2 linked regions of the Caenorhabditis elegans genome follow. The protein of the gene in region 2 interacts with the protein of the main gene of each other region in a pairwise test. Each region holds a gene or a part of one and is shown on either strand. Other genes may lie near its edges.

What was found.
Region 1: the proteins of cct-8 (region 2) and gstk-1 interact in a two-hybrid assay, tested with the Caenorhabditis elegans proteins (one large-scale study listed by BioGRID).

What each region holds. Positions count from the first base shown.
Region 1 is NC_003280.10:9,654,929-9,658,450, forward strand, and holds gstk-1 (Glutathione S-transferase kappa 1), read left to right. Parts: upstream 1-1,760; 5' UTR 1,761-1,820; coding exon 1,821-1,889; intron 1,890-2,071; coding exon 2,072-2,533; intron 2,534-2,584; coding exon 2,585-2,734; 3' UTR 2,735-2,791; downstream 2,792-3,522. Other genes in the region: ZK1307.1 (Amidinotransferase), read right to left, coding at 1-11, 65-140, 198-490, 595-603; ZK1320.2 (uncharacterized protein), read right to left, coding at 3,021-3,083, 3,129-3,206, 3,290-3,420, 3,469-3,522.
Region 2 is NC_003282.8:1,087,727-1,095,951, reverse strand, and holds the start of cct-8 (T-complex protein 1 subunit theta), read left to right. Parts: upstream 1-2,031; 5' UTR 2,032-2,038; coding exon 2,039-2,186; intron 2,187-2,248; coding exon 2,249-2,385; intron 2,386-2,437; coding exon 2,438-2,512; intron 2,513-3,777; coding exon 3,778-4,284; intron 4,285-5,836; coding exon 5,837-6,071; intron 6,072-6,664; coding exon 6,665-7,018; intron 7,019-7,949; coding exon 7,950-8,140; 3' UTR 8,141-8,225. Other genes in the region: Y55F3AR.2 (Thioredoxin domain-containing protein), read right to left, coding at 990-1,245, 1,308-1,402. UniProt on the Caenorhabditis elegans protein: Molecular chaperone; assists the folding of proteins upon ATP hydrolysis. Known to play a role, in vitro, in the folding of actin and tubulin. Required for correct subcellular localization of pgl-1.

The sequences.
Region 1 (3,522 bases), on a different chromosome or scaffold from region 2:
CCTTCGAAGATCTGAAATTTTATGTTTCAAAATGGAGAACAAAAATTCTCTGGCAAATTTATACCTCTTCATATCCTTCCCCAATAGTTTTGATATTGTTCTTCTTGAACCATTCCAAGTAGAGTGGTTGCTCACCGCTTCTGTAAAAACATAAAATGTTTCACACACAATTTCCTTTATTCTTTTTTCAAACTCACCTTTCCTTATGCCTGAATCTGGACAAGTAAACCTGATCATCATAGACCAATCCACTATTACAAACGAAAACTTGATCTGGAAGACCCTCTGTTTGCTCCATTGTCAAAACTGGAACACCAGCGTTTTCGATTGCAGATTTCAAAGAATTCCATTGCTGATGAGCTTTTTGCTTGTCAACAACTCCTCCCATCCATGGATTGATTGTGTATTCGACTGTGAAATGCTTTGGTGGAACCATCAACACTCTCTTCAGAATATGGGCAGCAGATTTTGCAGCAGACATTGTTTCAGACTGAAAATTCAATTGTTTAATTAGTTTTCAAAATCATTTTAACTCAAAAAGTAAAACCAGTGTTTCTAATTTCCAAACTGACAATTAAATAGGTCCAAACTCACATCAGACATTATTATATAGCAGGTTCAATATCAAATAACTATTGTTAATAGTCTACTCGAAATTGAAATGATGCACCGAGCTAACTAGTATCTTATCAGTTTTTATATTGATACGATTTGTTATCAAATATTGGTATAAAGGTGTTAGCAGCTAGTCTGCAAAAAGTTCAAACTTTCAAAAATTATAACACCTGACAAAAAATTTAAATTTTCAAACAATTTTTAGTCGTAACTTTAGAAATTTAACAAATATTCAAGGAGGAAGTTGAATGTTAAACTAGATAGTTCAAAAAGTAGAACCAAAAACGCGCGAGAAAATAAAAATAAAAGAATAACAATGTACACCCGTGGTCATTTTATTATCCTCCCTCCTTCTTCCCCGAACCCTTGTAAATCTTTCAATATGTCTTGATGGCCTTATTACGTCACAATACATATTGTGATTGCAGATCTTGATTGATAAAAATTCCAAATGAATTATGATCACAGGAAAAATGTTTTCTCGGTGTCAGGTGCCAGGTGTCAGGTGCAGGTACTCAAAAGACACCGGCAAATGAATTCCAAAGGTTTGTGCTTTGAAAAGCTCCAAAGATCCTTGCTATGCAAAATATGTCAATGGAAAAAGAAAATAAACATTTTTAAAAGAAAGCTTTTATGAAAATTCCATGTAAAAAACGCGAATTGGGACTTTCCAGGTATCCAGAAAAGCTTTAATTTTTGAAAGGTTAAGAAATTGATATACGCGTTTTCCAAATATCCAAGGTATTCTTGTAGTTTCCCCAATGCATCATTCAAACCAAGAGAGCTAGACGCAGAGAAACCAGATTGTCTGTCATCTCTGCGTATCTTTTTCCCGATACAAGCTACAGTGTAGTCTCACGGTGTGGAACAAGTCACCACGTTGCTTTACTTCTCTAGAACTATTATTTTCCCACGTTATTTTTGCATCTATCTTCATTTCCCACTTTCTTATCACTGCAAACCGAACATAGATCACAGTTCGTTGTCTCGAAAACTTATAAAACCACACGGTTGTTTGTGCAATTTTTATTTAATTTTTTAAACGGGTTCTCAAAGAAAAATTGCAGAAAATATAACTTTGATCTACTTTATCGTTCCCGCGAATATTTTTCAAAACATCTTTTCCAAATCTACACTCAACTTACGGATTTTTGTCTTGCAGATTTCCGTTCGCCGTGCCCAAAAATTCGAATTAATTTTGGAAAATGCCAAAACTTCCACGTATCGACTTTTATTTTGACGTGATTTCTCCGTACAGTTATATTGCTTTTGAGGTTGGTTTTTTTTATATACGATATTACATAAAAAACTGTGGTTGTACGCATGTGTCGATGGTTCTCTTATCCTAGGAAGTCAGGAATTTTTTTTGAACAGTGTTACGGTACAATAATATTTTTTAGTTTTAAAATTCGTAAATTTATTATAGTTATAGAAATTATGCAATGATAAATTGCAGGTCTTCCAAAAACTGGAAACCCAATGGAAAGGAGTAACAATCCGTTACATTCCATTTTTCCTCGGAGCCGTCATGAAAGAATCAGGAAATCGTCCTCCAGCAATGCTCCCAGCTCGATCAATTATGATGATGACTGATTTGAAGCGAACTGCAAAGTTCTGGGATATTCCATTGACTCCACCACCATTGTTCATGGAATGGATCAAAAAGTACCGTACTACTGGAGCAATGAAGGTTTTGTTGGTTTTGCAGGAGCAGGATAAGGAGCTGATGCTCCGAGCAGCTCGGGAAATGTGGGTCAGATTGTGGTCTCGAAGTGAGAAGATTTTTGAGGATCAAGACTTTGTGGAAGTATTGAAGGCAGTTGGTGTTAAGAATCCGGAGCAAATTGTGGAAAAGAGCAAGGATGAGAAATATATAAAGATTTTGATGGAGAATACGAATAAGGGAGTTGATTTGATGGTAAGTTATTCATCTTTGAATTAAAAAAAATTGGCAATTTTACTTTTTCAGGCATATGGTGCTCCATGGATCAATGTGCACACAGAAGATGGATCGGAGCATTCATTCTTTGGATCAGACCGTTTCCATTTGATTGCCGACCTTCTTCAACAGCCACAACCGCTTCCAGACCGACTTTTTGGCCAGAAATCAAAACTTTAAATATTTGTTGTAAGATAAGATGCGCTAAATATATGAATAAATTGGGTAAATATTTTTAATTAACTCTCTCTGAAACAGTCTGACAATCGACATAATCATAGATTCAAAAACTACAAAGAAAAATTCCAAAAAGATTTGAATCTAAAATCTTTTAGTTGGCTGCACTCTAGGTTACTTTTCAATTTTACGAACTGTAAAATATTCCAGAAAATTAATTATATGTTCAAAGTTTTATTCAAATTACATCTGCACTGTTAGTTGTGGGAAAAACCCAAAAAATCACAAATCAGTTGGCCTTGATCAATCCGGCGAACACTTGATACAAACCCCAGGTTCCATCCGGCATTTGCTGAAAGTAGAAAAGCTTTATCTACTTTAGATAATAAAAGTGTACCTTTTGGGCAAACTTCTCGCAGTAGTTCATATCTTGCTTGACATTGTCGGTTCCAATGACGCTTGGTGGAACTCCCATCTTAAATGGATAGGGTTAAAGTTCGGATTTGAATTTTTGGATTTTATCAGCAGTGAGCCAATTCTGATTCTGATATGACTTACATCATAGATGACATAAGCCCATCCTGGCTTATTGATATAGAAGTTGAGAGCCTCTGACATGGTTTCGATGTCATTGTAAGTCTTAACAACCGTATCGATTGTTGCAGAAACAGTGTCGTCGATGCAGAAATCTGAAAACAAATGAATTTCAGGTTTACTCTAGAAAAAGAGGAGCTCACTGAAATCATCATCATCGCGCTTGGTTGGAGTGCCGCTGATCAGCTCAGCATGAA
Region 2 (8,225 bases):
TTGCAGACGAAAATCCGGAAAATCTCGTGCTTTTCGAGCAAACCCACGGAAAATTGAAATTTTTTCAGATTTTTGGGCGTAAGTGTTGCATTTTTAGGCGACAATTGTGATTTTCTGAGCCAAAATCTTGAAAATTACCAATTTGGTGGAAAAATACGATTTTTTTTTTTTTGAGAAAATTAAGCTGAAAATTGAGCTTTTTGGTTGAAAAATGTGATTTTCCGAGCAAAAAACAAGAAAATTGAGAATTTTTGGGCAGAAATTGATGATTTTCTGAGCCAAAATCTTGAAAATTGCCAACTTTTTGGCTAAAATTAGGGTTTTTGGGGTGTGAATTGTAATTTTTGTGCGAAAATTTGGAAATTATGGGGTTTTTAAGTGAAATTTCAAGCAAAATAGCCGATTTTTTGCGTGAAAATTCAATTTTTTCTTGAAAAATTCGATTTTTCGCTGAAAAATGGATTTTCAACTTCAGCGAATAAAAATGTGTCAAAATCCGGTTTTAGGTCGAAAATTTGGGCTTTTCCACAAGAAAATCACAAATTTTCCGGAATTTTTCGTCTTTAAACTGGAAGTGTTAAGCTTTTTTCGTGAAAAAGTGAAAATTTGGGGCTAAAACTCAATTTTCGGATGAAAAATCGTCGTAGTAAAATTCAATTTTTGCATGAAAAAATACGAAATCTGAAGAGAAATATTTTTTCTGCTGATTTTGACGAAAATGCGAAAAATTTTGAGTTTTCTCGAGCAAACCCACATAAAATAGGTAATTTTTGAGTGAAAATTGCGATTTTTCGAACCAAAATCTTGAAAATTGCCAACTCTTGGGCTAAAATTAGGGGGTGTGGAGAGTAAATTGTGAATTTTTAAGCGGAAACTGTCTAAAAAATTGGGCATTGTCAGAGAATTGCGGGAAAATTCAGCCTTTCTGAGCGAGAAAAGTCATTTTTCAGGTAAAAAATTCAGTTTTTTCTCCGATCTTCTCTACGAACTTGTCCAGTTCCAGACCATGCGGCACTAGTCGACGCATATTTAGCCACCATACTCCTCAGTCCACTCTCATCGGCTCCTTGAATCGTCGCCTTCTTCTGCCCGTTCACAAATGCGATAAATGTGGGCATTGCGTTGACGCCGTACGTGGCGGCAGTTCCACGGCACTCATCCACGTCAACTTTTAGAAAAACGGAGCCTTTGTATTGATTGGCCAAGTCGCTGAAGATCGGCGCAATGTACTGGCATGGGCCGCACCTGGAGAATATAGAAAGATATATTTATGCTTAAAACACTGAAAATCCCTTGAAAAGCCTTACCAGGATGCTGTAAAATCCACAAAAACCGCTTTCCCGTTGCCCGCGGAGAACTTGCGGTCAAAATCCGAATCTCCATTGACAACTATTACTGGCATTTTCTGAAAAATTAGTGAAAAATTAATTGTTTTATTTATTTTCCACAAAAAAATTCAAAAAAAAACCTTGAAAACCACTTTAAAAATTAAAAAATCCAACAAAAAAAATAAAAAAATTGTTGTCAAGTCCGCAATGACACCGAACTTGACGCGCAAATGGTGTACACACATCAAAATCCACCGTACCCCACATCTCCCGTGGCGGCAAATCGCGGCGGGACCCGCCAGCAATTTCAATGCTCGCGAATTTTCCGAATTTCAAATTTTGTTCGCCGCTTCCAGTGTTTTCCATGAAATTTCTTTAGTTTTTCGCCGAATTTCTTGGTTTTTCAAGCAAAAATCGTGATTTTCAAGCTTAAAATCGGTGAAAAACGTGGGAAATTGGGCCAGAAAACCGGAAATTGGGTTAGATTTCCCATTTTGAAGTGTTTTGTCATCGTGAAGTTTCTCAAAGTGAATTTTGCCGTATTTATATTATTTTCTGAAGTTTTCAAGCTGAAAAAACAACTAACAATCTAAAAATCCTAAAATTTAGACCAAAATCTCTAAAACTTCACCTAAAATTGCTCATTCTTACTCAATTTTTACACAATTTTTCGATTTTGCCCCTAAAATCTAATAATTTGCAGGTAAATCATGGCTATGAAGATCCCAAAGTCCGGTTACAACCGGTTCATGAAGGAAGGAGCTCAGCACTTCAAAGGAACCGACGAGGCTGTTCAGAGGAATATCGAGGCCTGTACGGAGCTCGCTTCGCAGATTCGATCGGCCTACGGACCAAATGGTACGGAAAATTGCAGAATTTCACATTAAATATATGATTTTTCCCCAATTTTCCCACTTTAGGAATGAACAAAATGGTGATTAACCACATCGAGAAGCTCTTCGTCACCAACGACGCCGCCACCATCCTCAAGGAGCTCGAAATTCAGCATCCGGCCGCCCGTATCATCATTATGGCCACCGAGATGCAGGAGAAGCAGGTTTTTCAATAGAAAAACTGGAAAATTTAAATTTAAATGGGAAAAATTACAGATCGGAGACAACACGAACACCGTTGTGATCTTGGCGGCCGCTTTGTTGGAGCACGCTGCGAATCTCATCCATATGGTACTGGAAAACGTTGATTTTTGTCGAAAATTGTGGAAATTTGCTCGAATTCCTTGAAAAATGGGGTTTTTTAATCTAAAAATCCTCCAATTTATATATTTTGTCACTTAAAAGTGCCCAAAGTTCATGAAAAATCGCTGAAAAATCGATTTTTCACGCTTTTCTCAGCGAAAATTATAGATTTTTCGAGAGAACACTGCCAAAAAGTCGTTTTTGCTTGTTTTTAAGCATTTCCCGCAAAAAAGATACCAAATTTTGCTATCTTGAATATAAAAATCCGATTTCCAGAGATTTTTGCGCATTTCTCGCTAGAAACCCCAACATTTCGAAAAGTTTCAACTAAAAAGTGCCGAAAATGCAATTTTCAGCTAGTTTTCAAGCTTTTTTCTTACATTTCACTCGAAAATCCTCAAATTTCGCTTTTTTTTTTCGGCGGAAAAATGTCGAATTCACTAAAAAGTTTACAAATTATTCGATTTTTCGCGTTTTTTTTCAAGATTTTTTATTGAAAAATCCCAAATTTTCTCCATTTTCAGCTAACTTTCCTCATTTCTCGCGGAGAAAATACATTTTCACATCATTTTTATGCAAAAAATGCTATTTTTCTGCTGAAATTATCTAATTTTCCTTTTAAATAATCGCGAAAATTCAGTTTTTCAGCTTTTTTTTCGAGATTCTTCTCATTTTCAAGTAAAAATTCCAATTTTTTAAAAAATGTTTTTGATGCTTAATTGATCCATTTCAGGGTATTCTTGACCCAACAATTTTAGAAAAACGCTATTTTTTGACTAATAATCGGTTTTCCTTGGGAAAAATTTCCAAAAAATCAATTTTAAACTAGTTTTTGAGCAAAGAATATTTAATTTCCGAACATTTTCTCACACAAAACCCCCGAATTTTTTTGATTTTTCTTGGAAAAATTACCTAAAATTCATATTTTTATGCATAAAACTGCAAGTTTTCACTCAAAAACGTCAATTTTCCAGGAAATGGCACCAAAAACATCCAATTTGCGAGATTTTTCAGCTAAAAAATGTAATTTTCGGATGAAAACGGTCAAAAATTCAGATTTTTTTACTTACTTTCAAGCTTTTTGCTTTCAATTTTCACTCAAAAACCTTCAATTTTCGATATTTACCAAGTAAAACCCCAAAAAATTGATTTTCGGCGTTTTTCAAGCAATTTTGACAAATTTTCCAGTAAAAAAAACCGCCAAAAATTCAATTGTGCATCCAATTTTGCATAAATTTATCCAATTTTTCCAGGGAATGACACCACAAGAAGTCGCTGCCGGATACGAGCAAGCCGCCGAGAAAGCCCTCGAAATCCTGCCAACATTGGTTGTAAAAGAGGCTACAGATATGAAGAATATCGAAGAAGTCCGTCAATATATTCGTTCAGCAATCACCTCAAAACAGTACGATAACGAGGATATTATCGCTGATTTGGTGGCAAAAGCGTGTGTAACCACGTGCCCGGCCAACAGTTTCAACTTCAACGTTGATAATATCAGAATCTGCAAGATTATTGGCTCAGGAGTTCATACTTCAACAGTTATGAACGGAATGGTCTTTAAACGTGGAGCCGAGGGAGAAATTCGTGAAGCTCGCGACGCTAGAATTGCAGTTTATACTTGTCCATTTGACTTGACTCAGACTGAAACTAAGGGAACTGTTCTTATTGAGAATGCTGATGAGCTTAGGAACTTCTCCAAGGGAGAGGAAGCTGAAGTTGAAGAGCAAGTTAAAGCTATTGCTGATAACGGTGTTAAGGTAAAAATTTGAGCTTAAAAAGAGAATTTTGCCCCAGAAAACTCAATTTTTCCATAAAAATCGCGGTGTTTGGCTTTAATTTTCTATTTTTTTTTTTCGGCTGAAAGGATAAATATAGACTTAAAACGGGAATTTTCACTTCGAAAATTCTTAAATTCTCGTACAAAAGCTGAATTTTTCGCTAAAATTTCTCGTTTTTTGGCTGAAATGAGCTTCTCTGAGGCAGATATAAGAAATTCTGGAATGTATATTTTAAAAACGACCTGAAAACGGGAATTTTGACTGAAATTTCTTGCTTTCATGCTAAAAATTTTGTCTTTTGTGCCAAAAATGGTAAAATATGCAGCGAGAAGCTCAATTTTGGCTAAATTTTGGCTTATGAACTTCTCCAAGGGAGAGGAAGCTGAAGTTGAGGAGCAGCAGGTTAAAGCTATCGCTGATAACGGTGTTAAGGTAAAAATTTGAGCTTAAAAAGGGAATTTTGACCCCTAAAACTCAATTTTTCGATGAAAATCGCGTTTTTTCGGATAAAAAAGATGAAATTTGACTTTCAACGTGAATTTTTACTCGGAAAATTCTTGAATTCATGATTTCTCTTTCTTTTTTTTTGGCTGAAATGAGCTTCTCCGAGGCTTTGTATAAGAAATTCCGGAGTTTTTATCTGAAAAATTAGCTGAAAACGGAAAGTTTGACGCTAAAAACTCATTTTTTTACTGAAAAGCTTAATTTTTCGGCTAAAACGATGAAGAGAAGCTCCTAAATTGCTTCTAAATTCCCAAAAAAAATTTTTTTTTAACCTAAATTTTGTCTGAAATTCCATGTTTTGCAACTAATTTTGCCGCCAGAAGCTTAATTTTTGGCTGAAATGTAGTTGTTTACCAAAAAAAATCCGCTAATTTCGCAGCGAAACAGTTAATTTTTGGCTTAAATTCATTTTTCCGGCTAAAAATGGGATTTTTCAATATCTGAAAAACAGATTTTACGCTGAAAAATGTCAATTTTCAGCTTGAAATCGAATTTTCTGGCACCAAAAAAGTGATTTTCTCAGTAAAACCGCAATTTTTAACCTAAAAATGTTGGGTTTTCAGTCTAAAAACACAATTTTTCCTCCAAAATTCTCGTTTTTCCAGGTCTTTTTGCAGGTTTTGCAGCTGAAAAAAATGTGAATTTTGATTATAAAAATTGTCATTTTTAGGGACTAAAAATTTGAGATTTTGTTGCTTTTTAGTCGAAAAATGCTACATTTTCAAAAGAAAAAAGCCCGTAAAATACGATTTTCCAAGTGAAAACTGGAGTTTTCATCTAAAAAGTGTGATTTTCTGCCTGAAAATTACATTTTGAACTGAAAAATGTGATTTTTCGGGTTGGAAATTCGGTTTTAATGCCAAAAATTGGACTTTCCTCAGCTTACAATATGATTTTCGAGCTCAAATATACATTTTTCAACAGAAAATGACAATTTTCAGCCAGAAAAATGTGATTTTCTTGCTAAAAATTCAATTTTTTACGCCCAAAAATTCAATTTTCCCTAAAAAAGTTCCCTATATTTCAGGTTGTCGTCGCCGCTGGAAAGTTCGGAGACATGTACCTCCATTTCCTGAATAAATACAAAATTATGGCCGTCCGTCTTACATCAAAATTCGATCTTCGCCGCCTCTGCCGTACCGTCGGAGCTCAACCACAAGCAAGAATCTGTGCTCCAGCTGTTAATCTGTTGGGACACTGTGATTCTGTGGCTGTTCAAGAGATTGGAGACGAAAATGTCGTCGTTTTCGATAAGAAATCGGGTATATAATGTGGAAAAACTGAGAATTTAGGAAATTTTGACCCCCAAAACGGGAATTCTCCGATTTTTTGTAATTTTTAGCTCTGGAAACCTTTTAAAAAAACGATTTGGCGAGTTTTGACTCAAACAAGTATGATTTTTACAATGTTAGACCAAAAAATTCGGAATTTTCGACGGTTTTCAGTCGAAAATTGTGATTTTCGTATAAAACTGCGGAATTTGATGAGCTTAGACCAAAATTTCTACCGTTTTTACCTGAAAATTGTCACTTTTTAATGAATTTTTATTTCAAAAACGGCCTGTTTTTGAAGATTTGGACTCCCACGAGGTGTTTTTCACCGATAATTTGCCATTTTCTGTGAATTTTCACTTGAAAACTGAAATTTCAGCTGAAAATTCCGGTTTTTTACTTAAAAATTTAGATTTTTGAAAATTTTGCAAATAAAACCTCAAAATTTGAGCTGTAAATTCCCAATATTTTGGCCAAAAATTTACCATTTCAGCTGAAAATGTTAAAATTATCACTGAAAAAGCCAATTTTTAGCCAAAAATTCAAATTTTCAGCTTCAAATCTCAATTTTCTCAAATTTTCAGAAACCGGAAAAGTCGCCACAATCATAATCCGTGGATCCTCTCAATCTCGTATTGATGACGTCGAAAGAGCTGTCGATGATGCTGTAAACACCTATAAAGCTCTTACAAAAGACGGGAAATTGCTCGCCGGAGCCGGAGCCGTCGAAATTGAGCTCGCCAAAGAAATTGAGTCGTTTGGAGCAAAAGCACCTGGTTTGGAGCAATATGCAATCAAAAAGTTCGCCCACGCACTCGAAACTCTTCCAAAAGCTATTGCTGAGAACGCTGGAATGCCAACCACTGAAACTCTGACAAAACTCTACGCGGAGCATGTTGCTGGAAAGAAAAACGCTGGAATTGATATCTGGAAGCGGGGTACGGCTTGAAAAAACCCAATGAAAGCACTGAAAATTCGAAGAAAATCGAATTTTCGGTTTAAAATCTGACAATTTAGGTCGAAAAATGACTGGAAAACTTTAATTTTTGACTGAAAATTCAAAATTTTCTGCTGAAATTTACCGAAAACATTTCTAACTGAAAATTTGAATTTTCACCGGAATTCCGCTGTTTCTGCTGAAAATCTAACAATTTCGGCTGAAATTCGCCGAAAACCTAAATTTTCCACTGTAAATCCAATAATTTAGGTCGAAAAATGGCCGAAAAACTTGAATTTTACCTGAAAATGTGCATTTTTGACTGAAAATGTGACCGGAAACATCAATTTTCTTTTGTTTTGCTTCACTTTTTTAAAGTTTTCTTCAGTTTTTGCATTAAAATAACTGATTTTTCACAGCTGGAAACCCTCACAAAACCCGGAATTTTCGCTAAAAATAGGCAATTTTCAGTCAAAAGTCAACTGAAATTCTTCCAAAAAACGTCAAAATTTCCAAAAAAAATCCCCCAATTCCAGACAACACATTCAATTTTTGCTAAAAATTCCAAAAAAAAATATCAGCAAACTGACAGAAAATTTTCAAGTTTTAATCAAAATTGGCCAATTTTCCTTTTGAAAAACCTCAACTTTTCGGTTCAAGCTCAGAAAATTAGCTGAAAATCCGAAATTTTCAACTGAAATTTCTTTAAATCAACTCAAAAATGCAAAAAATTGAATGAAAAAATCGAAAACTCAGCCAAAAATCGGCCATTTTCAACTCTGAAAAATGCCAAATTTTCAGGTAAAAATTCCTCAAAACCCCCCGAAATTTTGGCTAAAAATGTCAATTTCCAGCGCATAAAACTTGTAAATTTTCAATCAAAATTCTGAAAAATCCCGAATTTTAAACTAAAATTCCTTCTTTTTTTTCAGAAACAATGGACGCCGTCGTCAACAACATTTTCGACCTCTACGCTGGAAAACGACTGGCAATTAAGCTCGCCACAGACGCCGCCAGCACAATTCTCAAAGTTGATCAGATTATTATGTCAAAGCAGGCGACTGGAGGACCAAAACCACGTGGACCAAAGGCTCAAGATGAGGATGACGATGGAATGGCCTAATTTTTTTGTGTGCATTTTTGCTGAAAAATTGGGGAAATTTGAGTGAAAATGAGCTGAAAATCGATTTTTCAGCGAAATTTTAGAC